Sus scrofa: one gene and its partners. The protein of the gene in region 3 interacts with the protein of the main gene of each other region in a pairwise test. Links are inferred from orthologs where the notes say so. Each region holds a gene or a part of one and is shown on either strand. Other genes may lie near its edges. The genes, in order: FOSL1, FAM208B, LDOC1, RAB29, LATS1, LNX1 and POLL.

Region 1 (3,993 bases), on a different chromosome or scaffold from region 3:
CCTGGAAGGGACATGCAAATCTCTCTATGCAAATCCCACCTATATTTCTCAGCTAATATGCCTCCACCTCCAGGAAGTTTTCCCTGATCCACCAGTGACCACTTTGCCTTCTGGGTCTCCCCAGGGGCTCTTATCACTTTCTGCCTTGGCCAGTAGTCACCAGTGGACCTATTCTCCCCACCCTCCTTCTAAGCCTGTGTTCTGCTTTTCAGCAAGAGCTTATCTTTTTCACCTCAGCAGCCCTGCGGGCACAGGAACCTGTGCAAATGCCTCTGCTCCTTACCTGTTCACAGTGCCGGCGACGCACTGCCGGAGTTGGCCCCAGAGCCCGGATGACTCCCGGCCGGGGTTGTGGGGGACTGTACTGGGGGTACGCCAGAGGCCTGGGGTAGCTGCTGGGTCCCAGGAAGTGAGGCTGTACCATCCACTGCAGCTCCTGGCTGCCACTCACAGCGTTGATGCTTGGCACGAGGTGGAACTTCTGAGGGATAAGACACAGAGGACTAGGGATGAGGTCTGTAGGGACGGAGGGGCTTCCAGGGGACAGAAGTCACACTGCTGCCCACCCTCAAGGCAGCTGCTGGTTCTGAGAGACCAGAGAGGGCGCAGCTTGGCAGGCATCCCTGCTTATGAACTGTGTGACTTTAGGCAGGTCACACAACCTCTGGGGCCTCCATTTCTCCCATCGGAGCTAAGAAAGTGTGAATTCCAGGCACTGGCCCAACGACTTTGCTAATCCTGACTCATATAATTTACACAACAGTATCTTCATTTTCAGACAGGAAAACAGTTCTCCATAGACGCACAGCCAGTAAGTGGGAAGCAGGTTTGTGCCCAGGAAGCCAGGCCCTTGCCCACTCTTGCACGCAGCCTGAGTCTCATCAGCATGAAGAGGAGAGTGACAGCTTCTGGCTTCAAGGGTGATTGTGAGAATCAGGTGAGAGGATGTGTGTGAGAGAGCCTGGTAAGTGTGGACAAGGACCACTGCTCTGGGTTCAGGCTATCCCGGCTTTGATCTTAACTCAGCCATTTACTGGCTCTCTGGGCAAATTATTTAATCTCAGTGTGCCTCAGTCTCCTCGTTTTTAATATTGTCACAGGGAGGGATTACAGCATTTCAATGATGCTAAGAAGTACCCTTTAGTGGCCCTGAATAGCAGCTCTCATAGTTCAATTGGCAACTTGAAAACAATTTTTGTGCTACAAAATAATGATGGGTTTTAGTATCAGTGGGGTCTTAGATTCTAGGAGTTAAGATAAATGAGGCGGAAACTGCCCGGCACCAGGCAGAGCTGCACAGTATGTGCTCCAGGTATCACCTGCCACAATTCCCTTCCAGCCAGAAACGTGAGGAATGGGTTGAGATGGGGGCTTACTGTTTGGAAAAAGAACTAGATTCAAGCCCTGGGTGTGGGCGCCCAGTCGTCCGGGAAGCGCCCCACAAGCCCAGACAAGTCAGGACAGCAGTGTCCCCGGCTTAGTGCTGCGGGCCCAATGGCCCAGTGACCCCAGTTTCGGGCCAAGGTACCGCCGGCGGCATCTCCAGCTCCCGAGGTTGTCCAGGCCCGGGCCCCTCCGGGCCAGGAAGGGAGGGGCGCCCCGCGTGAGTCAGCCACCGTGACTCGGCTGCCGTGACTCGGCGGAACGGACGCCGCTCCTTCCCTCCCCTAGCGACACGTGCTCACGGCCCCTCGACAGGAAATGGGCACCTGCAGCCTCCCAGGTTCCCCCCTGCCGGCAGCGGGCGCCGTTTGGTGCCGAGAGCCGGGGGCGCGGGACTTGCCCGCAGCCTGACCCCGCGCACGTCTCCCTGCACCTCACGGTCTCTGCCGGACGCATCCCGTAAAAGGGTCAAGAGCCGGTCTCCCGGAGCCCACCAGGCTCCACTGCGCCGAGATGATGATAAGGATCTGGCGACGGGATGGGGAGGGACAGACAAACGGGCGGGCGCCGGGATGATCACAGACAGACCGCCCAGGATTCCCAGTCTGCCGGGTCCAGCCCGCCGGTAGATCCTCTCTGTGCGAGGGGACATCTCGGCCGCAGCTCAGACTCCGGCTCTTGGAATTTAGTTCTCTTTGATTCTGCCGGGACTAGAACTCATCCCGGACAAGGGGTCCCCTTCGGACGCAGATGGGACAAAGAAATCGGCGGTGGACAGGAGGAAGGAAAGACGGTAACAGAGACGGAGGGACGGAGAGACCGCAGAGAGAGGGGGAAAGAGCGCGAGCCACAGAGGGGACGTTCGCAGATCTTCGTTCCCCCCCCCGCCGCGCGCGTCCCACTGGGCTGTGGGGGGAAAAGAGCCCTTGGACAACCGAGAATGGGCAGGATCCGCTGCCACCCCTCCGAGCCCCACTCCCTCCTGCGGTTCCCGGCCCCGGTCCGGATTGTGCTGGAGCGGCCCGCACCGTCTCAGGCGCTGTCCACCTGGGGACACTGGGCGTAGGGTTCCTCTCACCTGCTGGCCTGTCACCGGGGGCTGCGCCGGGCCGCCGTACGCACCTCCGGCCCCGGAGCTCGGTCCCGGTTCCCCGAAGTCTCGGAACATGCCCTGGGCTGGCTGCTCTGTGGGGTCCGTGTCGGCGGCTCTGGTTCTGACTCACTCGCTCCTCGCGGAGTCTTTTCTTTTTATGAATGAAAAGTCCTCGGGCTGAACCACTTCCACTGGGGCGGGGGGGGGCGTTCCTCAGCGGCGCTGGTCACCTCGGGGCTCCACCTCTGCAATCGCACCGCCTTTTGCCAGTCCGCCCTGAACTTTTCGTCGCCTCCTACAGCCGGCTAGCCGCTTTTTGGTGGGGAAAAAGGGCGGACTTGACGTCCCCCTGCGACAGCGGCAGGTCCGCCTCCTCTGACGTAGCTGCCCATACATGGTGCAATTTCCTCGCCGCGCCCAGGTGGAGCGAAGGATTCCCCCGCCGACGGAGGCACCTGCGCCCCGCCCAGCCCCGCCCCGCCTCGCCTCGCCCTCCACCTGCGCAGACCTAGATCCCGCCACCAGATCCCAGAGCCCTCAGTGTTTGCATCCGTAAAATGGGACGAAATAATCACACAGCGCCCTGGCCGCGCGTGGGAGGTTGGAATGAAAGGGGTCTGGAAACTGTAAAATGGGTTACAAATGTGATAGCATTATTATTATCATCATTATCATTATTTACTGGGTGCTTATTTCATGCCAGGAACCGTGCTACCGCCATCCAAGTCTGTGGTGTGAAGCCCTTTCACTGGCGTTGTCTTAAGGTTCAGGTTTACTAAAAAGTGAATGACAAACCAGGATTACAAAAGTGGTAGATACACACACACACACACACACACACACTTATTTGGCTGTGCCCGTTGGTATGCAGAAGTTGCCAGGCCAGGGATGGCATCCTCACCACAGCAGCGCCCCAAGCCACAGCAGTGACAGTGCCAGATCATCAACCTGTTGAGCCACCAGAGAACTCCAAAAATGGTGTATATTTTAAATGTTTACAATGACATGATAATGCTTTGAACTATCCCCAAATACTATGCAATGTAATTGCCCTACTCGCAGGGTAATTTCAGGAGTCAGGACAAGTTTTCATTCAGAACCTCTGTAAGCAGTGAAAGCCTGCAGTGGGGCACTTGTCCTGTGGTCTGATAAACATCATTTTCTTTAAATACTGTAACTACTCTTCCAGGACTGTGTGGTCACTAGCCTTGTTTGGAGATTACATCAAAAGTCTGTATGAATGTGAGGCCAGGGACAAATATCAACAGCCGAAGACCAGCAGCGCTGCGAGGTAGGTGCCATTATCGTCCCCATTTTACAGATGGGGGAAGTGAGGCTGAGAGATGTGGAAATGAAGGGCCCAAGATCACTAAGCAAGTGGCCGAAGCAGGTTGCCAAATCAGGGCTGTGGGAGCTCCCAGCCCAGGTTTGGGCAAGCGATTTCAAAGCCCTCACAGACAGCTTTTCACATATGTTGGTGCTGAGAGGACCGCCCCAAAGCTGCTTCTCTGTCTCTT
Region 2 (3,500 bases), on a different chromosome or scaffold from region 3:
AAGCGCCCTTCATCTGAGACACCTCCCAGCGCCCCGTGACCCCAGGACGGCCAGCCTCCGAGTGCGTCTGCGGGGCCCTTGCTTGTGCCCTGTGCCCCCGAGCCTTGCCCACCCTTCTGGAAGCCTCCTCAGGCCCTCATGCTTTTCTCCGGTGGCACTGAGACTGACTGGAAGCACTCACGGAGTGACGTGTCCCAGTGACTCTGGAGCAGGAGCCACCAGGGGCCGCAGTGCGGTCCTGGCTCCAGGCCCTCCGAATGCACCGTGGTGGGGACTGTCACGCCCGCGATGGCGCAGATGCCATGAGCAGCTTCAGGTGTCTGATGTTACTCAGCAGCTCGGCGTTGACAGTTTGATCGTGGGCCACGTTTGTCACCCGACAGCCACCCTGGACTTGAGCCGGGGCTTGCACAAACGCTTCCTCGTCTGGCCATCACCACTGCAGACGCGAGGCCGGCGTCCCTCTCGGTGCTGCCCTGTACCTGCCTCGGCACCTGCCAGAGCTGGGCGCTCATCTCTAATGTCCCTTTTCTCGTGTCCCTCTTATCCCGAGACCCGAGACAAGCACAGAAAGGGGTCCTCACACGTCCACTTGGGAAGGACGCTCAGGTCCCCTCAACTACACTAATGGGTGAGCACAGGGAGGAATTTTTTTTGGGCTTTTTAGAGCTGCACCCGCGGCCTATGGAGGCTCCCAGGCTAGGGGTCGAATCGGAGCTACAGCTGCCGGCCTACACCACAGCCACAGCCACACGAGATCCTCAGGTCAGTACGCGAGGCCAGGGTTCACACCCACACCCTCACGGACACGTGTCAGGCTTGCTTCCGCTGAGCCATGGTGGGAGCTCCAGGATTAGTGATTAAAACCTGAACCTGCCTCTGGATTCTATTTGTGTCCACCCTGAATACATCTCCCCAAGTGCTGTTTTGTGAAAACAAGGCACCGCATCAGTTTTGAGAAATCACATAAATCTTCCAACAGTGCACACGGCAGACCCTCCAGCCTCTCCTCCAGCCCGGCGCGCACGGAGCTGTGGAGCTCAAGCACCCCCTGGTGCTGGCTTCTTTCTGAAGCTGAGGCTGCTCGGTTCCTTACGAAAAGACTCAGACGCCAAACGGACAGCAGCAGCAGGAGCAGCCCGGCCCTTTACCTTCGTCCTTAGGAAGAACGACTCGTCGGCTGTCTCCACCAGGTGGAAGAGGAAGGTTCTGGCGCAGGCCTCCTTCACCACCCGCTCGAGCTTGACGCGCAGACTGGCGCACAGGTCGGCCACCAGGTCCTCGTAGGAGGCGGGCCGCGGGCAGGGCGGGCCCGGCGCCGGGGCCGCGGCCTCGCTGGGCTCTGGGTCTCGGGGGGCGGCCTGGCTGCCGCTGCCGAGCAGCACCTTGTTGAACTCGGCGAACTCGCTGAGGATGAGCGAGATGTCGCCGCGCGAGTCCTTCCAGGGGCTGTTGTACTTGAGCTTGTGGAGGTGGAGCGCGGCCGCCTGGCTTCCGCCCGAGTTGGGAAGCGGGCTCCTGCCGTGGGCGCCCCGCTCCTTCCAGGACGAAGAGGCCTGGGCCATGCGGTGGGGCGTGTGGCCTCTTGCCCGACGACCCGGGGGTCTGGGGTCCGAGTGCACGACGGTCACCACCAGGGGACTTCGGCTCCGGGAGGCGGGCGCGGGCGCCGGGGCCGCCTTGGGAAAGGCGGGGGCCGAGGGGCCCGACCGCCGGGCGTCTCCGCGCTTCACCATCTGCTTTAGTTTATGCGCAAAACGCAGATATTCCAGATCCAAAGTGCTGCGGGTGAGGTCGGCCGCCCCCGGCCCCGTGTCCGTCCGCAGGCGGAGCGAGGCGCCCTGGGCCACGCCGCCGGGGGCCCGGCTCCGCGCCCGTGTCACCGGGAAGTTGGCGTAGGCGCGGGCCACGCCGCGGAGGTCGCGGACGCGGACGAAAGCGGGCACGCGCCTGGCGGGCTCCAGCCCGGGCAGCCGGCGCGAGCGGCCCCAGTCCTCGTCGTCGTCGCTGTGGCTCAGGCCCAGGAAAGGGTCGTCACTCTCGTCGGAGGCGCCTTTGTCCTCGGCACGCCTACACCGCGGAGCGCAGGAATCCCGGGCGTCTTCCCTGGGTTTCGCACACTCGCCAAGAGAGTCTTGATCCGAGTCTCCGGAAAGTGGCTCATAATGGATGTCAGGATTCGCACGGAGACCCGGGGGCGCAGGGTCCCTCGGGGCCCTCGGCCCCTCACCAGCGCTCTCAGCGCCAGAGACGCCACCACCAAGAGGGGCCCGAGATCCGGGGACAAAGGAGGCAGAAGGCGCTTGCCCGCCGCCCAGGCCGGCGGCCGCCGTGTCGGGGGGCGCATCGGCCCGTGAGCAGGGGGGCAAGGGCCCATGGCCCACCAGGTCCCGGCTTGGGCCCGCGGACCCGGCCCGCAGCCGGTGGAAGGCGGGAGGAGACGGGGGTCTCCACTGCGGACCAGCGCCTCCCAGGTCCACGGAGTCGCCGAGGGTCCCGGCCTCGGGGCCGTTATTCTGCAGCAGCCTGGCCATCCTCACGGCCGAGATCTCCTGCGTCTGCGGCCCTGGCCCCGCGGCTCCGGGGCCCGAGCAGAGGCCGGCTGCCGGCCGCTCCGCGTGGACCAGGCCCCCGGGGCCGGCGGCGCTGTCCACCGAGCCCGAGCGAAGGGACCTGACGAGGATGTAGCAGCGGCCGTCTGTCTTCAGGTCCCCGCCAAGGAGATGCTCCGGGGGCCTCTCGGGGCCGGCCTGCTCCCCCAGGGACAGACTGGCGTCAGCGGGCGCAGCCGCGGAGACAAAGGCCGCAGCCAAAGGCTGAGTTTCCAGAATGTGCCTGGGACTGAGGGGAGGGTCCCTGGAGTCCCAGATGAGGTGACTCACGTGGGGGCTTCTGTCCTCCACCGCCGCTGGCTGCAGGGGACTCCCTGAGGTCGCCTGGTTTCCCGGGGCATCTCTGTACCTGGCAGCCGAGGCAGGCTGCTTCGGCTCTGCGTCCCAGCTCGGTGCCCTTGCGGAGAGGGGGGGACCCTGGTCACGCTCCCCCGGGACAGCTTGCTCAGGGACTGCACCGGGAAGGGCTGAGCACGTCCCTCTCCTCTCGGGGGGACGCCTAAATACCAGAGGCGTTTCAGCAGGAAACGGCACTGGCGGTGCCCGAGGTAAGTTATCTTGTCCCACTGGAGGGGCTGGACCCGCCAAAGAATTGTCTTTTTCTGTTACGGCCATATCGACCGACTCCATCTGGGACGGCGGGTCACCGCTCTCACGCCGCGCCTCAGAGAGCTCCGCGCCGCAGGAGGACACAGCCCTAGCCGTCTGTGCGTCTGTGCCTGGTGCCTGTGGGTCAGGACTGGAAGCTGGTGACACTTCCTCAATCAAAGAACCGAAGGGGAAGTCTAAGGCCACATGCATCTCCTCTGCCACCTCAAGGGCACACGTTTCTTTAGAAAGGACGAAGGTCGCTGTCTGTGAAGTGTCACTGCTCCTGTCCTCATTAGC
Region 3 (4,295 bases):
ACCCTACAGAAACAACTTTCTTAGGTCCAAAAGATGACTCTTGCTCTAGACTTTGTCTGTTCACCAAGTAAACTGGTTTTCTATCTGACTTCATGTCAGATCCCAAAGAGTAAAAATGAACTCTTGTCATGCTCTCATTTCCATTCTCTCTGCTGAGCTTATTCTGCTCCTGTTCACTCCTAACACCTTCCTACTGAAGCCCAGCTCAACAGCAAGAGACCTGTTCCCTGTATCTCATTGAACCCACAATGTAAGGTTTATTGGTACAAATAAAACACTCAGCATCAAAAGGTCTTAAACAAGAAGGAATTTTATTATCTAAATTAGAGGTTCTAAAGTAGGGCTGGTTCCCGGCATGGTACAGAAGACATCTGGGCAGATACATGTAAGAATCAGAATTCTGAACCCCTCAAATCCTCCTGACAGTTCCTGGCTGGCAGCGATAGGCCCCACAAATCCCCTAATCAGGCTTCCCTGATTTAACATTTCAAAGACTTAACCTGGGGTTATGGGCTCACAAAAGTAGAGATTATTCTCAGCACTCACCCCACTCCCTTAGGGCCTCCAGCCCTCCAGGCCCACAAAAAGATCTCAGCACAGCTCAGACAGCATTACAAGATCTAGTATGGGAGATAGCCAGGCATCTTGTCGATTTCTACAGGCAGGAATCTGGGGCACACAGATGGGTGGGGATCTTAAGGGTTATCTGCCCAAGGAGGATGAAACATTAAAATCTGGCTCCACTTATGGGTGCATTTACCCAGGACTCAGGATTTAACATTAGCTCAAGCATCTAAAATCGGTATTGAAACAATGTGCTACCTTGTTTATGGAAGCCTGAACTCAAACAGCACCCTGCAAGGAATAAGAGTTAAGAGGCAGCACTTGCCTGGCAGGGCTGAGAAAGAACCCAAAAGCTCAGGAAGACAGGAATATGGTATGTGCCCTGATGTACGCCTATTGTCCCATTCCGATTAGTAATAGTGCCCCCTTTTTCTCTCGAGTGTCCCAGTTTGGGATGGTGTGCCATCTACTCAACTACCCCTTATTCATCCCATCCTGGAAGCCCCAGAGGACACTCACTTCACCAGGGCTTTAAAAAGTGCCTTGGTGAGGGGAGCACCAGTTTCCCTATAAAGCTCTGTAGTAGCAGTCCTCTATTGCCCAGACATGACAGTAGAGAATAATGGGATTGAACTAGGCTCTCTGATATCAGTAGGAATAATGGGAGTCAGGGTGAGAGTGGCAAAGGCCAATGATAGCACTTAACCATTAAAAGACGCTCTTTTTTTTCCGTAGTGCTTGATATTTATTGAAAAGAATGCAAATGCTTTTTCTATGTAGTATTGAGGAGCTGGGCTGAGTACCTGCTTTTGTCTGTCTGGTTTTTGTTTTTAGTATTTTTGTCCAAATGCACACAGCTGTGGGACTGCTTCAGTTTTAAAAGAAAAATGACAGTTGTGCAAAACTGGTGCATAAGAGAAATGTCAATAATTTGGCTGCCAGGCACAACGGGCCCCTGCAGCAACCTGGTGAGGCAGGAGAAGACTCTATGAGTTAGGAAAGGAGGGAACGAACCAGGTGCAAAGATTCGCCCCTCGTGGGGGGGTGGGGTGGGCGTGAGCAGTCCAAATCAATGTCCCAGGTGGTATAGCCAACTAAAAGCATCTTCTAGGTTGGTCCTTGTCTCCAAAGGCCTGGTCTGTCTGTCGCTGGAATGTGATGGAGGTTGGTTAGGTGGCAGCGTCGGTCTTTGGGCAGATGTAGGCCTGACAATCGGCAGGGCTGTGGGTAGTCTGACCAGTTTGTAACAGTCTGCCCTATAGTTGGGGCTCAGAACACAGTTCAAATTAGCAGGGTTGGGCCCTGGGACTGGCCTGAGTGGGAGGCAGCGCACTTCAGAGAGGCCCCAGCCCCAGCAGCAGGTAACTGTAGCACTATTCCCAGAACAAAGACAAACACTACGGGGGGGGGGGGGGGGGGGGGGGAGCGGTGAATAAGGAAGAGAACCAGAGCGAAGACTAGGAAGACTAGGGAAGCAGATAGGGAGCGAGGGAAGTGTCGCGGCTCCGGGAGGAGCGAAGCGGGGCGGGGGGTGGTGGCGGCGTGCAGGGCCCACCCCCCTAGGCCCGAGGGTCTCCCGGCCTAGTAATCAGCTTCTTCATCTTCTTCGTCGTCTTCTTCGTCGTCATCCCAGCCAAAACACTGCTTCATCTCATCGAGGAAGGCCCGGTAATCACCTAGGATGGGGCTATCCATCTCAATGTAGGGCACCACCCACTCTTCGGCTTCCCCGGTGAGCAGGCTGATTAGGAATGCCACCTTCATGGCGTCGTTGCAGAACCGGTTCTCGTTGACGAGCATGTAAGACGCCGTCTGCACGATAAACTCAGGGAGGCGGGAGCTCTCACCGTTAAACGTTTCGGGGAAGGGCACCGGGCAGCTCGGCGGACGTACCTGGCGCAGTAGGGTGGCCCTCTCGCACACCAGCAGCCGCAGCTGTTCCATGAGCTGGCTGTTCTCGATGCTCAAGGCGCGGTGCCGCATCAGGAGCGCGTGCAGCAGCAGTACCAGCTCGTCCACCATGGCGAACAGCTTGTAAGAGCAAGAATGGGCTCAGCTCGGTTCGGATCGGCTAAGGTGAGCAAGGAGGCCTTGCAGGAAGTGCGTGTCCGCGGAGGCGCGCGGCGGCCAGGGGCGAGAGGCGGTGCGCGCAGGGGTCCCGGCAGCTGCGCAAGCTCCACCCACACAGCGGCTCTGACGGCCGGCACGCCGGCGCCGCCCGCTTGGAGGGAGGCGGGCACTGGAGAAAGGAGGGGCGTGGCCAGAGTGGAGCGGACAGAGGGAGGGCGTGGCCAGGCAAGGAGGCGGGCAGGGTCTCGGGCTGCTGGCTCGCAGTTCTCCCGGCCCGTGGATAAAGGCAGTGGGGGGAGATCCAGCCCTAGATGCGGGCCAGGCCTTAGCCAAGGCCGAGCAAACGCTAAGATCCATCTCCCAGAGAGGGTTAACCTGCTCAAGTTTAAAGGATTAACCACCCTTCAACCCAAACGACTCAATGTTCCTCGGTGGGTCTGTGGCCACCAGATTCCATTTATGTGGTTTTAACACATTTCTTTGCGTGTTTAAATCTCCCTCACTCAGAGAACTATTAGCAATTCTGGCTGCACCGCAGGAGTCACATCCTTTAAGAGTTATGAAAGACGTTCAGGAGTCCTGTCTTTCATGACAAAGTAATACTTAAAAAGAGGTTTTTCTTTAGTTGTAAAATAATATTGTGTACCTCTATCCTTTTGTTTAAAATTACTTTTAAATAGCAAAGTGTAAAAAGTTCTGCAAAAGTTAGTATCCAATCACCATTTGCATGAGTCCTGCCTATCTTTGACTCTATTTCATGTCCTACTACTGGTTATTGTTCTTTGCTTAACAATGAACACATGTGTTTTTAAAATAGTTTTGTTTTCTACTTTGAATGTGATTATTCAAATAGTTGACAAATAAGTCAGGGTGAGGACCTTGGGGCCAATATATTTTTTTAGCTTTGCTTTTTAAATATATCAGCAGTTTAATTACCTGGGGATCTCTAAACAGCACTACCACCCTAAGGCCAGCCCTCCTTTCTCACACAGACTGTTGCAGCTCATCACTTAGCTTCCACTCTTCTCTTCCTCAAGTTGTGTGTGTGTGTGTGTGTATTATATACATACTCCAGAGTAGATATAGGAATCCTTTAGGACAAACATTAGATCTCTTTACTTTCCTGCTCAAAACCCTCCAATAGTTTTTCCCCCTTCGCTCAAAATAAAAACCAAAGTCTCGGTAATGGCCTATCAAGCCCTGCCTCACTCCCTTTGCCTTGTCCCAGTTCCTGCTCTGCTGTCATCACACTGTCCTTCTTGCTGAGGCTCACACACACTGAGTGGCTCTGGCCTCAGGATCTTTGTACTTTCTTTTTTGCCTCAGAATGTTCTCCTGGTTTTACTGCCTGACTCTTCCTCCATTTTCAAAGCGGACTTTCCTAACTACCTCATCTATCAGAGCACCCCACTCTCTGCCAGTAACCTCTAACGTTTGCCTTGCTTCATTTCTCTACATAGCATTTATCCTACTAACAGCCATCATATCACATAGCACTTTGTTTATAGGTCAGCTTCCCCTTTAAAATGTCTGTGTGGACAGAGGCTTTGCTTTGTTGGTTGCTCTATCACTAATGCAAGAAAAGTGCCTGGCCCAGAGTAGAAGCTTCATAAGGGTTTGGTGGATAAAGGAATCTCAGGGTGCAGATGTTAGGATAAAAA
Region 4 (4,183 bases), on a different chromosome or scaffold from region 3:
CCTTACAGAACATAGGTGGCAGCCTATAAAGACCTGAGCAGGGCTATTTTCCCATTGCTCTATTGCTTTCTCTTCTACTCCTGGGAAAAACAGAAAATGAAGCTTACTGGAATTCCCACTGAGGTGCAGTGGGTTAATGATCTGGCTTGACTCTGTGAAGGCACCGGTTCAATCCCTGGCCAGGTGCAATAGTTTAAGGACCCAGCATCGCTGCTGCTGTGGCACACCTGGCACAGCTGTGGCAGGGCTCAGATTCGCCCCCTGGCCTAGGAACTTCCACCTGCGGCAGGGGGACGGGGGTGGGGTGGCACGGGCAGCGGAAAAAGAAAATGGAGCTTATTTTGTTTGGCGGTGAAGCTCGTGTGTGCTTAATTCCTACCTAAAGGGCAGGCATGTCCAAAAAGTTATGGGCTGAAAAATTAAAAGTATTTGCAAAATTGTAGTTTAATCATTATTCATGAGCAACAGCGACAAAAAATGGAAGAGGATTCTCAGTGTACTCCAGCTCAAATGGTATGAGGAAGGTAGTATGACTAGGGATTGTGGAAGTGAGAATGATGACCCAGCTATTGTTTTCTATTTTTACTGCTATAGCTAATTATTAAATGTTAATAATAACATTTAACAACATAGGTTTTTCTAGGAGTCTATCTCTTAATTGTGTCCCTGGACTTGATTGATAGATGCATTTGAAAAAAAATGTAAGAACTAGTAACCTTCCTTATGTTCACAAGCTCCTGATGTGTCTATCTAACTGAAAGAGCAGGAAATATACTTCACTTGGATCCTGAGAGAAGAGGGTTGAGCTTTTGTTAGTGGAGTAATGTGTGAAATCTACAGGATAATGTTTAATCTTAGCTCCACAAAACTTTGAAAGATAATGAGAAACCTATCTGGGGACAGATTTACGCAGGCAAGATCATGTCGAACAAATCGCCCCCGAAAGAGCTTTTCTATTCCAAAATTATTTTAAAATAAGATTCCGGAGTTCCCGTCGCGGCTCAGTGGTTAACGAATTCAACTAGGAACCAAGAAGTTGCGGGTTCGATCCCTGGCCTTGCTCAGTGGGTTAACCATCCATCATTGCCGTGAGCAGTGGTGTAGGTCGCAGACGCGGCTAGGATCCCACGTTGCTGTGGCTCTGGTGTAGGCCGGCGGCCACAGCTCCAATTAGACCCCTGGCCTGGCAACCTCCATATGCCCTGGGAGCGGGCCTAGAAAAGGCAAAAAGACAAAAAAAAGAAAAAGAAAAAAAGATTCCAAACGGTCGAAAGTGTTTGAAACTTCATGTAGGTTTTTAAAAACAAAAATAGTGAATAAACTACACATCCCAGAAAGCCACGCGAGCGAAATCTCCACACTCGGCCAGGTCTCTCCACCCCGAGGTAAGTTGGGAAATGTAGTGCTCCAAGCAACCCTGCACGTGACGCATGCGGAGGAAGGCAAGAGACTACGCCACCTGGGGCGGTACAACGTCAAGGGGTAAATGTGTAAGGCGCTCTTTCCTCCAAATGTGGCTTGTGCAGTAGGGAGAGGTCCCCTATCTTCTACCCAACCGTGAAATTCAGTCGCCCGCTGGAACAGCTCCGGGGAAGTCCCGGTGGGTGAGGCAACGTGGTGCCTTGTCCCGTTTCTCGTAGCCGGTCGGGAGGGGGAGAAGGTGAGAATAGCCGGGGGCTCGGAGCTTGCGTCCTGCGCCCCACCCAGGCTGCGGCCGCGCGGGGAGGAAGCGCGTATAGGTTGAGTGCAAAGTTTCCTTTTTTGCTTTTTCGTCACAGCAACCCCAACGAGCAGTGGGCAGAAATGCCAAACTTCAGTTTGAGCGGGGTCCGGAGCCAAAGGAGTTAAAATAAACGACTCCCCCACTTCCCTCCTCCCTAAAACGTCGGTCCCGCTAGCCATGAGCAGCCGCGATCACCTGTTCAAAGTGCTGGTGGTGGGGGATGCCGCAGTGGGCAAGACGTCCCTGGTGCAGCGGTATTCCCAGGACAGCTTCAGCAAACACTACAAGTCCACGGTGGGAGGTGAGACGTCCCTTCGGGGGCGGGGTAGGCGGGAGGCTGGGACCACGGACTCGAGCTGTGGACTTAGTTGGGGTGGATAACGGGGAATTTGGTATCCTTGGGGCTTTCCTTGGGTCAGGAAGTAGATGTCTGGGATCCTAGAGGGAGGCAGGCTGGGTCTGTTTTGCGTGACTCTTGGGTTTCCCCATTAGGTTTTTTCCAGCCTGAGCCGACTGTCTGGAAAGAGATGAAACTAAGGTGTGATGATAAGGACATGGGGAAGGGAGATGAGAAAATGAGCAATTGCTGCTTTTCGCTGAGGGAACTATGAACTCAAGTCTCCTCCTGCTGCCTTCCTAGCGGTCACGAGCAAATCTCTGCCATCAGCAGATGCAGTGGAGACGCTCCAGAGAATCTGGTTAGGTACCAGCCAGGGACTGTTGTCCTGCCTTCACAGGAGTTACAGACAGCTGTTGAAGGCACAGAAAGGTGTTTAACCTGGCCTCAAGGAGCCTAGCTTTGTAATGGAGATGCCTGTAGGGGAGAACCCCTGGGGCACACAGTCAGATGCTTATCAGGGCTGCTGAGCTGTGTGTTTTTTGTCCATTAATTGCCTAAATAAAGGCAATGTAGAAATTCTTAGCTTGAAAGACACCACTTCTCTGACCTGTTTTTCCCACCCCTTTTCCTTTCAAATTAGGGGGCGGGGGGATGAGGAAGGGAACACCAAGAGTTAATTCATTTCATTCCAGGTGTGACCTTTGGACTCAACTGTCTTTTCAGAAGTAGAAATGCCTTTTAAATAGAAGTTTAGAAGGGGTGAGCTGGTGAAGAGGGAGAGTAAAAACATTTATTTATCTTCAGTAAAAAGAACTAATTTTTTTGGCCTCGCCTGCAGCACATGAAGTTCCCAGGTCAGGGATTGAACCAGCGTCACAGAGGCGACCCAAGCCACTGCAGTGAAAATGCTGGATCTTAACCTGCTGCACTACAAGAGAACTCCAAAAAAAAAAAAAGAACTTTTTTTTTTTCTTTAAGGAAAAAACTTGTGGTAATGTAAATTTTGAAAATGTGTGCTGGTGTTCATTATGGAATTTTAAAAAATTAACATGCATTTCGGGAGTTCCTGTCGTGGCTCAGTGGTTAACGGATCCGACTAGGAACCATGAGGTTGCCGGTTGGATCCCTGGCCTTGCTCAGTGAGTTAAGGATATGGCGTTGCCATGAGCTGTGGTGTAGGTCGAAGACGTGGCTTGGATCTGGCATTGCTGTGGCTGTGGTGTAGGCCGGCTGCTACAGCTCCCATTAGACCCCTAGCCTGGGAACTTCCATGTGCCATGGGTGTGGCCGTAGAAAAGACAAAAAAAAAAAAAAAAATTAACATGCATTTAGATTGCTATTAAAAGTGCCTTCCAGGAGTTCCCGTCATGGCTCAGTGGCTAAGAAATCCGACTAGGAACCATGAGGTTGCAGGTTGGATTCCTTGCCTCGATCAGTGGGTTAAGGATCTGGTGGTGTTGTGCGCTGTGGTGTAGGTTGAAGATACAGCTTGGATCCCGAGTTGCTGTGGCCCTAGAAAAATACAAAAAAGACCAAAAAAAATCCTCCTGTAGTTCTCTTGCAGCACAGTGGAATAAGGATCTGGTGTTGTCACTGTAGTGGCTTGGGTTGCTGTTGTGGCATAGGTTCCATTCCTGGCCTAGGAACTTCTACATGCTGTAGGTAGGACCAAAAAAAATTTAAAAAAATAAAAAATCCTCCTTAATAACATTCATCAAAATTAAGTTTTTAAGTTTCAAAGATTTAAAGTAATCTTGGAATAAAATAAAATCTTTGAAAAGAATCTTAAAAAATAAAAAGAGCAGGAGTTCCCGTCGTGGCATAGTGGTTAACGAATCCGACTAGGAACCATGAGGTTGCGGGTTCGGTCCCTGCCCTTGCTCAGTGGGTTAACGATCCGGCGTTGCCGTGAGCTGTGGTGTAGGTTGCAAACGCGGCTGGGATCCCGCGTTGCTGTGGCTCTGGCGTAGGCCGGTGGCTACAGCTCCGATTCAACCCCTAGCCTGGGAACCTCCATATGCCGCGGGAGCGGCCCAAGAAATAGCAACAACAACAACAAAAATAAATAAATAAAATAAAATAAAAAGAGCAGTTTCCTGGTGGCTCAGCAAGCTAAGGAT
Region 5 (4,015 bases), on a different chromosome or scaffold from region 3:
TGTAGAAATTATACCCAGCATTTATGGTGCCATTCAAATGCTTCCTTCATGAAGCTTTCATTGAAGTGCCAGCTGCTATCCTCCTCTGAACTTCAAATGCACTTTACACAGGCAAATAAAACTTGTTTTTGCCCTATTCTTGTACTTGTCTTATTTTTCCCACTAAGCACAGACTGACAAAGCAGAGGTATCTTGGATATTGGATGTGTGTGTGTGTGTGTGTGTGTGTATTTTATTTTAAATTATAATTTGAATTGATCCAGAGTAAATGGATCCAGAGAGGTAAAGTGGCCCCATTAAAATCATACAGCCAGCTGGAGGTCATGCTAGGAATGGACTCCACATATCCTGAAACAGCCCAAGGCTCTTTTTTCCATGTCATTTTTTTTGGTCTTTTTGCCATTTCTTGGGCTGCTTCTGCAGCATATGGAGGTTCCCAAGCTAGGGGTCCAATCGGAGCTGTAGCCACTGACCTACACCAGAGCCACAGCAACTCATGATCAGAGCCGCGTCTGCAATCTACACCACAGCTCATGGCAACACGGATCCTTAACCCACTGAACAAGGCCAGGGATCAAACCCGAAACCTCATGGTTCCTAGTCGGATTCATTAACCACTGAGCCACAACAGGAACTCCCCAAGGCTCTTTTTTATCATACCTACATCTTAGTTTTCCTAAGGGATCATGACTCACATTCTTTGAAGGGATAACTTGGTTAGACTGAACAGACAAAACCTCCATTTCTTAGAAAGTTCGGACCTTCATCAGATGTACAAATGTCAATAAGTACAAACAAATACTGCTGATATCTTACCCAACTTAGGAAAAGAACAGAGCCCATTACATAAGAAGATTTCAAATTGATACCTTAGGTTGAACTAGGCTTGTAAAAAAGATGGTATCTTAAAGCTTTGACTAAATCAGTTATGAGAAAAGCAACAGTACTGTCTTAGCAGTATAGTCTTAGCTGTCCATATGGTAATATGTAAGAATCTCTGCATTCTGATGACATTTTCTCCAATTCACTTTCTAAGAGTTAACCTATCAAAAGTGAGAACAATCATTATATTTTATCATCATTTGAAAAATGACTGCCATTTCTACTTGATAAAAATGTTGTTCAATGACTAAATAACTTTCATAGTCTACAAAAATCCACCACTAATCTAAATATCACATCTAGAGCAAAAACTAAATAACCAGAGCTGGAACTGTTCTAAGGCTACACTATGTAGAGTAACAAGGAGGAGCATTAAAAACAAAAACAAAAACTCAACCTAAAGAAAGAAATCCACATGTGCCATATCATGCCAAATATATCTAGCAGAAATATTTTTATTTGCTTTTGAAGGCTGTCACCATATTTATTAAATACTCAGGCACAGGAAAAAATGCGCCTTTTCTAGCCTGTATCATGATCTAGTTTCTTGCAGTAACAGCCGATCAGAGGAACACAATGCTACTTCTTTCACTGTTAAATCAAATTCCTCCACTGCCTTAGGGAATCAACTAGCTCATTTTACCCGTGTGTCAACTAATTAAAGGAAAAAAATAAACGTAGTTAAATCACGAACATAGATACCTTAGCAGAGCACATTCATTACAATTATAATATCCGACTTTTTCTTCTATATGGTGGAAATCTGACAAAAAATTCTTAGTCCTCAATAACAATCCATAAGACCTGACACCCTTCATGGTTCAAGTCCATTTCCAAAATTGGAGTGATACAATACTGTGTGCGAGATTATAGTTCTCACTAGATTTATGAATTAACTTCTAGATAACGATGTAATATTTTGAGTCGTATTAACATATGGGTCAACAGACATTAATTTTTGTTCCCTTAGAAAAGAACTTTAAACTGAAGAAGAAAATAGCTTCCAACTGGAAAGAATGGGGTTAAATCACTTCACCTGAGAGTCATTCTTTGTGGCACAAAGTCTTTTTGAAGTTACAATAAACAATGTCCCCTGAACTTCCTTTCCTTCATTTTCTGAATTTACAGACATACTCCCTCCATCTCTCCTATCCCTTCCAACTATGAACAGCAACCTATTTACAGTGGACTGTAAATAGAAATTCTCAGAATTTCTTCAAGGTATATCCAGGAGCAGGTCCTTCTGGAATGAAAGAACTGTGGCTCCTTCACTGCACATTTCCTTCACAATCACCTTTCGCTATCCGTTCCTTCCTGAACACCGCTGACCGGTGAGGGTTGGAGACAAGGGTGGAGGGAGGTGTGAGCGAAAACAGTCCGCGCAAGGCCTCCAGTGAGACAGGATCTTCCCGGGCTAACCTGAACCTCCAAGGCCGCAAAGCCTGGGGCTCTTCCTCCAGCCCCGGGCGCGGCCAACCCTCGCTTCCCCAGGGCAGGGCTCCGCTCAGGTCCATGCAACCAGCCAAATCGGGCCCGTACCGGGCCGGCCCGGCCCGCCCGTCCGCAGCGGCCCCTGGACTCCCGCCAGCGGGGATGGGCGTGGGCCCCGACGGCCACCGCCCCGCCAACGCGGGCTCCGGAGGAGAGAGTGAGCCCCACCCGCTACGCCAGCCCCGGACCTACCTGCAGAGAGCGGGGCTCCTGGACAGCGGCCACGGGCCCGAGGGCGGGCGTCGAGGCGGCCGGAGCCCGTCCCAGGGACCCCAAGTGTCCCCGGTGGGGCAGGGCGGGCAGAGACGCCGGGGGGCTGCCGCGGGCCAGCGCGGCCCGTCGCGGAGGTCGCGGGGACCTGGCTCTCCCCTCAGCACCAGGCCGCCGCCGCCGCCGCCATTTTGCCTTCCACTCGGTGTCGCCGCCGCCGCACTCCGCTGCAGGTTTCCCGGATGTGGGCATTTCCCGGCGTCGCTTGCGCGGGGGCCGAGGACTGGGGGCTTCTGCCCGCCCGGCCGTGGGGAGCGGGCGCGCCGCCGCCGGCCTCCCGCCCTCCGCGGCCGCCCGTCCCCCTGCGTGTGCCCGCGCGTCGCCCCGCGTCGCCCCCGCTTTGCGCTGCGCAGGTGACTCGCCACGGCTGATGGCGTTCGGCTCTCCGCCTCCCAAGCCCACTCATTTAGTTCAGTGTCTTTCTCAATTGAGCGCTTTCTGTGGAAGGACGAATGTAGAATAAAAGGTGCGCCTCTGCAAGAGTTTAATTTCCAAAAGGTAACAGCCGTGAGTTGCTCTCTGAAACCTCGCGGTGGACCTCGGGATTCGGAATTTCTAGAGGCTTTGAAATAAACTGATGTTTGCTTAGCACTCTTTCCCCGAGTACATCCGTGAGTTTGTTTTCTGAATCAGTCAGATTAATATATTCGCGAACACGAACAGACTAGGGGTTCAGAGATTTCTGTCAACTGAATAATCTGTCAACTGAATCGGTATAAAAGGAAGTCATTATTACCATAACTGGAATAATTTTGACTGCAGCGAAAGAGGCTTTATCTTGTTAGATGGAATTGGAAGTTTGGGATGGGATCGTTGGGTTTATGATGTTTGAAGATCCCCTCCACTCTCTGCCCATGGCCTTTGCCAATTTTGCCTCTAGAAAATATATGCAGTTAGTACTTTCAAATATCTCCTTTCATCACATTTATGCTGGAGACTAGCTATTATTCGTTTAAACCAAAGCCTCTTTTTTTTCTGATGTTGAGTTAGTGGCTGGCTACTATTTCCAGAAGTTCAAATATGAAAACTTATGATGAAAGAAAAGATTACATTCCAAGAGCATTTGGTTGAAAGTCTCTTCCACAGGTAGAGTTTGTAAAAGGTATGATCTAAAGGGAGTCATTTAAGGGAGTTCCTTTTGTGGCTCAGCGGTAAGGAACCTGACTAGGATCCAAGAGGATGAGGGTTCAATCTGTGGCCTCGCTTAAGGATTGGGAGTTGCCATGAGCTGTGGTGTAGGTCGCAGACTTGTTGGATCCCTAGTTGCTGTGGCTGTGCTGTAGACCAATTGCTGCAGCTTGGATTCCACCCCTAGCCTGGGAACTTCCATATGCTGTGGGTGTAGCCCTAAAAAAGACAAAGGAAACCAAAA
Region 6 (4,052 bases), on a different chromosome or scaffold from region 3:
AAAACTGGCTGGGAGAGGTGTTTCATGTGTTCTTTTTTTTTTCTTCTTTTTTTGCTTTTTTTAGGGCTGCACCTGTGGCATATGGAGGTTCCCAGGCTAGGGGTTGAATTGGAGCTACAGCTGCCAGCCTACACCACAGCCAAAGCAATGCGGGATCCGAGCCACATCTGCGACCTACATCACAGCTCATGGCAAAGCCAGGACCTTAACCCACCGAGCAAGGCCAGGGATCAAACCCACAGCCTCATGGTTCCTAGTCAGATTCATTACCACTGAGCCACAATGGGAAGGAACTCCATGTCTTTTTTTTGTGATGATCACAGTGGGTCTCCATGTTAAGTACTGTCCATGTCAAGTACTGTCCCCATCTTCTAGTTGAGTGAAAAGGCTTGGAAAGGCTTAGAAACAAACTCATTGTTATGGGCTGGATGATGTCCCTTCAAGTTTATATTCTAAAGCCCCACTGTATCTCAAAAAGTGGCTGGATTTGGAGATGAGGCATTGAAAGTGGTGAGTAAATCAAAAAGGGGTCCCTAGGGTGAACCCTAATCCAACCTGATTGATGCCCTTCCCAGAAGAAATTTGGACATGCAGAGAGACACCAGGGTGCAGGTGCAAAGAGGGATGACCACGTGAGACACAGTAAGAAGGGGGCCCTCTGCAAGCCCGGCAGAGTGGCCTAACCCTGATGTTGGACTTAGAGCCTCCAGAACTTTAGAAAGTACATTTCTGTTGGTGAAGCCACCCAGGCTGTGGTCCTTTGTTATGCAGCCTGGCAGACTAACACAGTCATACCACGCATCTGGTGGGGCTGAAGTTGCTATTCAAAATCAAGTCAGTATATTATAGGAAATTAAACATTTATATAAATACTCAGAAATATATTTTAAAAAAATCAAATCAGTATAGCTTTGATGCAAGCCACCTTACTACAACAGGGCTTCTGCCATGAAACCTCTCCTCCGACCCTCTCCCTTCAACAGACCGCCCAGGACACTCAACCAAGTATCCTTAACCGATCCCTCCTCTGTGACCTCACAGCACTTAGCACACTGCCTATAGTGGGTTACACACAACTAACCCATAATATTGTGGTCCAGTTGAGGGTAGGGCTCCTCTCCCATGGAGCCAGGTACATGGCAGTTAAATAGTTAGTATGAACTGAGCACTTGGGTGCCAGCAAAGATTTCACATGCATCATCGCATTGACATCTTAAGACAACCCCATGAAATAGGCATCACCACTGTTCCCACTTTACGTGTCAGAAGACTGAGGTCACAGGGGTTATCTGAGTCACCCCAGGACACAGCTACTAGGCGGTAGAACCAAGAGTCATATCCAGATGGTCTACCTTCCCAGTCTGCTCAGTACCCCCTCTGCTCCTCCGCTGCCAGTCTTGCTGTAAATGCTCACTCCCTCCCTACCTGGGGCGGCCAGGGGACAGGGGGAGGGGTGCGCTGATCTGCATTGCTCTCCCTCAATATAAGTCTGCACGTCACGCTAAGCCTGGTGTAAGGCTCCCCTCCCATGGAAAGCCTTCTCATAAACAAACTCCTCTCCCAGCTCCCACTCCTTCAGCACCACCTGGGCATCCAGTCTGCCCTGCGCCCTGACACGTGACCCAGAGTTGGGCACATGGGCCAGCGCTGATCAACATCTGTTGAACTGGAGTCAATGCCTATGGAGAGAAGCAGACAGGGATATACAATGCGGTGGCGTATTGGACTAGACCCCGTGACTCTCTGTTTCTGGATTGTCCAGGGGAGTTCCTTGCTCCGGTTCCATCCTCTCATCAGATCGTGTGCTGGGAATGTGGCAGAGAATGGAGCCTGGTATTTGGTTTAGAGAGGAGAGTCACTAGTCTGCTGAAAAGAGGCGGAGCGGCAATGAGATGGACTGTCTCACCTCCTACCTGCTGCTGGGCAAGTCCACTGCTCTGGGCCTCAGTTGCTCTGTAGGTGAAAGTGCAGTGATGATGCCTATTTCTACTGCCGAAATGGGATAAAATGCGTGAATGTATTTTGAGTATTGATGACGAATAATGTCACAGAAACCCAATCATTATTAGTGGGATTACTTATGATTTACTGACTTGCTTGGCCAGTAAAAAAAAAAAATTTACATATGTATATATGTAGTTTTTATTTTTGAAAATAAAAGAAGAGGTGTCGTGAAGAATGCAGAAAAAAAATAAATCAAGCCTAAAGAGAGCAAATATCCTGAGGCCTTTCTAGAGTGTTTTGGAAAAGACAGACCTAGATATCTCTAGGTTCTCAACATCTTGGGTGTGTGTGTGTCTGTGTGTGTGTATGCATGTGTTTGCGTGCAGTGCAGTGGGGGTGAGGGTGGAGGCTGGGCTGGGATAGTCTGGGGCAAAGTTTTCTCCAATTGTCTGATGCCACCCTCTGGAGGAAGAAGGCCTCTTACCTTTGCTGTGCTGTGAATCAGTTTCCAGCCAGGTAAGACCTCTTGGTACAGTCCATTTGGGAGCTAAGTTTTTCTGACTCAGCAGTAGCCCAGAAAAATACTCTTCCTCTTTCCTGTGGCCTGTCTTCCAGACACGCATGAGAACCACCCCGCTTTGCAGTTCATCAGCTCATCCCAGGCCCCGTCTGCAGGCTTTGCACAGAGCTGATCCATCAACCAGGGGAGAGAGGCCCCCGCAGAACAGCCACCCAGGAGCATCGGTAACAAGTCTGCTCTGGTTTGCATGGGGCCGAGGCCCCCTCCAACTTCCTCCTGCTCTCGCCAAAGCCAGGATCCTTTTGTTCACCTTTAGAGCTGCCAAATCAGACCTACCGCACCCCTGGATGTTGTTTTCCTGCAGGCAATGGGAAAATGAGCTTGGAACCAGGGAAGGGAAATCAACAAGGAAATAAACACAGGGTCACTGCCCCTCCAGGTCAGCACCAGGCTGGGACATCATCATGCTAGGACCACTTCCTGAACAGGCGGGAGCTGGCCACTGCCTGGACGGGTCTCAGAATCCTGGGCATCTTTTCATTTTTAAGTCTGCGAAGAAGCGTGCCTCTAGCTCAGAAGCATGAAATCTATCTCAGACAAATCAAGCAGTCCTGACTCGCTCCGATGCCTTGCCAAATCTTTCAAAGATTTTCCATAGGCAGCATCTCTCGTAACGGAACACTGGCAAATGTTTTTAGACAAAGAAAAAGAGGGAGCGAGTTCATGGCTGACACTAGCTAAGACTTTTAACGATATAGATAAGACATTTAAAGATACCCTCTAAAGATACAGGATTATCGTTTCAATAAGGATTTCTTCTACCTACTCTTCCAGGTCACGGTCATCAGCAGCGGCACTGTCTTTGCTTGCTTACTTCACTTATGGAGACTTTACTGTCAGCTGGGTCCTGGGCTAACGACCTCCCCTGCATTATTTCATTTAATCCTTGACATAAGCGTATAGTTCTCATCCCCATTTTGTGGATGAAGAAACTGAGGATTAGCAAGATTAAGTCACTCCTGCCAAGTCACCCAGCTGGTTAAAAATGTAGAAATTGCCTTTCTGGAAGGGTGTTCTTCTAAGCCCTGTTTTTCCCGCCTGTTGGCTTAGGTACTTCTGTGGTCTGACAGCTCCGGTGGTGGCCAAAGAAACTCTTCGATCTGGGAATGGAATTCTAAACAGAACCACAGATCATCAGCTAGCTAAGCGGTCTTGCCCTGGAGTTATGAATCGGTGCTACCTTTCGGTAACTTGCACACAGAACACACCTAGCCCAGGGACCCCTGCCTCTTGCTAATCCACGGGGGCACTGCTGGCTGCTGTCACCTGGCTGTCCACCGTGATTCTTTTTTTTTTTGTCTTTTTGCCATTTCTAGGACTGCTCCTATGGCATATGGAGGTTCCCAGGCTAGGGGTCTAATCGGAGCTATAGCCTCTGGCCTACACCACAGCCACAGCAACATAGGATCTGAGCCGTGTCTGCAACCTACACCACAGCTCATGGCAACGCCGGATCCTTAACCCACTGAGTGAGGCCAGGGATAGAACCCGCAACCTTGAGGTTCCTAGTCGGATTCATTAACCACTG
Region 7 (3,146 bases), on a different chromosome or scaffold from region 3:
ACTAGCTGGACTCTCCTAGCATCTCTATCAAACTAAGGCCCTCAGCTCATCTTTCAGTCCTCTACCAGCCCAGCCTTCTCTAGACTCCCAGCATCCTCACTAAAGTAGGTTTCTTAGTTGTCCCCAAAACTGCCCCTCACCTCCTCCAGACAGCCCTCCCTGACTGCCTCAGCCCTGTCAATGGCACACAGGTCACCATTTAGTTGCTCCTAATGAACTCTGTCACCTTTGTTCACATCCCATATCACGTGATCTAGGGCAGGGCCCACAGGAGATGCTGATGGGTAGAGAGGAACTCCCGGGGCCTGACTCCACGCATTCTCCCTTTTAATGTCCACTCCTGTCCCCTTCTGAGTTGTTCAGGAACTGGCTCAGGCCTGGCCTGTTTGGAGAGCAGTTAACTTGCCTCTCTGGGCTCCCATTCAGCTCCTATCTCTGTCCCTGCCCAGGTGGAAGAGGGTGGGCCGAGGCCTCAGCAGCTCACAGATCCACCAGGCAGGTTGAATGTCAAGTGCACTTTACTGGGCCCCTTAGCCTTCAAATGCGGTCCTCATTGAACCTGGGGTGCCTCTTCTCCACACTGCCAGCTGCACAGGAAGTGGGGTGGCCAGAGGGAGGGCACGTGGAGTGGCTCATTCTCCTGTTCTGAAGGGTCTTAGGTGATGCTGGGCTACAGCTGCGTGCCTCTCCCCACAGCCCCCATCCCACTTCTAGGGACACCTGGGCCTTTAGCACAGGAAGCTCGCTTCAAACCAGGCACCAGCTCCTGCTTCAAATGGGGCAGGGGCAATGGTGAGGCAGACGGGGCAGCAGCCTGCTCCTGGCGGGGAGAGGGCTGGGCAGACCCTGGAAGCTGGCTGGCCCTTTCCATCAGGCCAGAGGAGGTGGTGGCTGAAGTAGTGAGGTTCAGCCTGGTGAGGCTGGAGGGATGGTCCCGCTTGACACCCCCTCCCCCAGCCATGGGTCACCAGTCCCGCTCAGCTGGTTCTCGGTAGGGCAGGCCTAAGAGCCTGAAGACATCCTTCTCGGTGGGGGTGGGCAGCACCCGGCCAAGCCCCACCTTGAGGCCATGGGCGTCCCGGACCACAGCCGTGCTGAGGGCATGCTCCGAGAGGCTCATGCCCTTGGTCTTGGCCAGCGCCCGCATGGAGCGGTTGAAGTGGGCAGAGCCGGTGAAGTAGAGCAGGGCGCAGGCAAACTCGCTGTAGGGAACGACGATAATGTCCAGGCGTCGGTGCCGCCTCCCTGGCCCTGGGAGCTGGCACACGCCCAGGTACTTCTGCTGCTGGCCGTGCTGCTCCTGGCTCACCAAGTCATCCGTCAGGAACCCTGGCCCAACACAGAAGGGCTGCTGGGAGGCCGAGAGCCAGGCCCTGGGTCATTCCCACCTCCCAGGCCTGTCCCCATCATCCCGGGGTCCTCTATTCCCAGCTCGTCACTGGTCTGCTGGATGACCTTGCCCTCTCTGGGCCTGTGTCCTTCTCTGTAAAAGAGCAATTCCTCCCCACCTCCCCTCTGGCGGCACAGAAACATCGGCCGAGACACTCGGCTGCTGGTTTAACTGAGCACCTCTCGGGAGGTGTGGGGAACTGAGGCATCTCTTCTCGGAAGTGGCTCCGGCCACGAGAGAGCATCCGTCCCCTGCTTCTGGCCTGGAGATTAGGAGGCTGTCCCTCCTGGGCACCACCCTGCCCGTGCCCACCTGCTCACCCAGATGTAGGGCTTATACCTCGCTGCCGGAGGCTGTCCAGAAGGCGGCTGAAGATGCCTTGGTGAGACCGGCCGTCCGGGTGGGTGAGTAGCACGTCCACATCACCACAGGTTGCCCTTCCGCGTCGGTACGAACCACAGGCCACGCACAGCAGCCCGGGGTTGAAGGCTTGAGCTGCTTCCCGGACCTGAGCAAGGGCAGCAAGTGGGTGAGGGAGGTGGGCCTCAAGCCCTGAGGGGAGCTCCTCTCCACGGCAGCACGGGGGCTCCCCTGACCTGGGGGCCCGCATGCCGCCCTTGTGTCCCCAGCCAGTCCCTGGATCCGTGACCCCAGCTGAGGGAAGGAGCCCCAAGACACAGAGGGCAGAGCTCTACCCTGGGGAATGGCCGTTCCCTGGCTTCACTAGGAAAGAGAAGAAAGCATGCTCACACCACTGGGGCTGGCAGAGGGGAGGCAGGAGAAGGGGTGCTTGGATCTGAGGGTAGGTATCCATCCTTCTCGTCGGAGCTCCTTGAGAGCAGAGGCACACCTTCTCTGGGCTTCTGCCCAACCCACATGTCCAGGTCTGTGAGACTCCACATGGGACAAAGGGCAGGTGCCATGAAGCCCTCAGCCAGGTTTCGGCAGCCCCTAGTTTCTTGGGATTTGGAGCCAAAGTCAGAGTGTGAGTTGGGGCTTGAGGCCTGAGCAGGTGGCTGGCAGGGCGCCCTGGGTGGGGAGACGGAGCCCAGAAATATAACTGAGCACGTTGGAAAGGGAAGGAGAGAGAGCAAAGTGGAGGCAATTCTGAGCCAATGTCCACATCCTTACGTGGAGGACTGGGGCTCTTGGGGAGGGCACGGAGCCAGAGGAGACTGTCTACTGAAGGATCGCTGCACACTGACGGGGATAAGCCCATCAGCCCCACCCCAGAACCGCTGAGGCCTTTCCTATGCAGATGGCCTCCCTGTCTCCACCCTGGGACCCAGAGATTGCCGGGTACCTCGATCCTCCTGACAGGCAGGCTCTGCTAATCCCTTCAACTCCCTTCTTGAGCCTCCCAAGAGGATGGGAGGAGGCCAGGATAAGTAAGCCCATCAAAACCTCCTAAGGCTGGAGCCTGTAAGTGGGGAGAGTGGGCCAGATGGGGAGCCACCTCTGTTCCAGAGGGTCGGGGCTGGAGCCTTGCTGGGACATTCTCCAGGCCCAGATACCGTGGCTGAGTGGCAGGTTGTCACTAGCCCTAAGGCCGGGTGATGGGTGGACAAAGGGGCTTGCCTGTCCATTCCATACTGCCTCATAGTCATGTGGCCCAGAGCAGAGCTGGAGGCTGATTGCAGCTGAGCTCGGCCCACATCCCCCTATCAGAGTCCCAGCCTAAAGTGAGCAAACTAGCCCCTAATCCAAACGCCAACTCTGATACATCTAACCCTAAGTGTACCCTCGTCTCCCTCTA

The links.
Region 1: the proteins of LDOC1 (region 3) and FOSL1 interact in binary tests that used the Homo sapiens proteins (3 or more experiments, as listed by UniProt). The two-hybrid records come from large-scale screens. The link is inferred for Sus scrofa from reciprocal best matches to the Homo sapiens genes LDOC1 and FOSL1.
Region 2: the proteins of LDOC1 (region 3) and FAM208B interact in binary tests that used the Homo sapiens proteins (3 or more experiments, as listed by UniProt). The two-hybrid records come from large-scale screens. The link is inferred for Sus scrofa from reciprocal best matches to the Homo sapiens genes LDOC1 and TASOR2.
Region 4: the proteins of LDOC1 (region 3) and RAB29 interact in binary tests that used the Homo sapiens proteins (3 or more experiments, as listed by UniProt). The two-hybrid records come from large-scale screens. The link is inferred for Sus scrofa from reciprocal best matches to the Homo sapiens genes LDOC1 and RAB29.
Region 5: the proteins of LDOC1 (region 3) and LATS1 interact in a two-hybrid assay, tested with the Homo sapiens proteins (2 studies listed by BioGRID and IntAct). The two-hybrid records come from large-scale screens. The link is inferred for Sus scrofa from reciprocal best matches to the Homo sapiens genes LDOC1 and LATS1.
Region 6: the proteins of LDOC1 (region 3) and LNX1 interact in a two-hybrid assay, tested with the Homo sapiens proteins (2 studies listed by BioGRID and IntAct). The link is inferred for Sus scrofa from reciprocal best matches to the Homo sapiens genes LDOC1 and LNX1.
Region 7: the proteins of LDOC1 (region 3) and POLL interact in a two-hybrid assay, tested with the Homo sapiens proteins (2 studies listed by BioGRID and IntAct). The two-hybrid records come from large-scale screens. The link is inferred for Sus scrofa from reciprocal best matches to the Homo sapiens genes LDOC1 and POLL.

The regions. Positions count from the first base shown.
Region 1 is NC_010444.4:6,428,965-6,432,957, reverse strand, and holds the start of FOSL1 (fos-related antigen 1), read right to left. Parts: upstream 2,801-3,993; 5' UTR 2,552-2,800; coding exon 2,462-2,551; intron 482-2,461; coding exon 284-481; intron 1-283.
Region 2 is NC_010452.4:65,205,974-65,209,473, forward strand, and holds part of FAM208B (protein FAM208B), read right to left. Parts: coding exon 1,152-3,500; intron 1-1,151.
Region 3 is NC_010461.5:115,579,127-115,583,421, reverse strand, and holds LDOC1 (protein LDOC1), read right to left. Parts: upstream 2,801-4,295; 5' UTR 2,587-2,800; coding exon 2,146-2,586; 3' UTR 293-2,145; downstream 1-292. UniProt on the Homo sapiens protein: May have an important role in the development and/or progression of some cancers.
Region 4 is NC_010451.4:66,455,967-66,460,149, reverse strand, and holds the start of RAB29 (ras-related protein Rab-7L1), read left to right. Parts: upstream 1-1,383; 5' UTR 1,384-1,482; exon of another isoform or gene 1,483-1,660; intron 1,661-1,778; 5' UTR 1,779-1,900; coding exon 1,901-2,024; intron 2,025-4,183. UniProt on the Homo sapiens protein: The small GTPases Rab are key regulators in vesicle trafficking. Essential for maintaining the integrity of the endosome-trans-Golgi network structure.
Region 5 is NC_010443.5:16,273,740-16,277,754, reverse strand, and holds the start of LATS1 (serine/threonine-protein kinase LATS1), read right to left. Parts: upstream 2,801-4,015; 5' UTR 2,566-2,800; intron 1-2,565. UniProt on the Homo sapiens protein: Negative regulator of YAP1 in the Hippo signaling pathway that plays a pivotal role in organ size control and tumor suppression by restricting proliferation and promoting apoptosis.
Region 6 is NC_010450.4:40,437,735-40,441,786, forward strand, and holds the start of LNX1 (E3 ubiquitin-protein ligase LNX), read right to left. Parts: upstream 2,801-4,052; 5' UTR 2,429-2,800; intron 1-2,428.
Region 7 is NC_010456.5:112,608,058-112,611,203, forward strand, and holds the end of POLL (DNA polymerase lambda), read right to left. Parts: intron 1,899-3,146; coding exon 1,730-1,898; intron 1,330-1,729; coding exon 965-1,329; 3' UTR 501-964; downstream 1-500.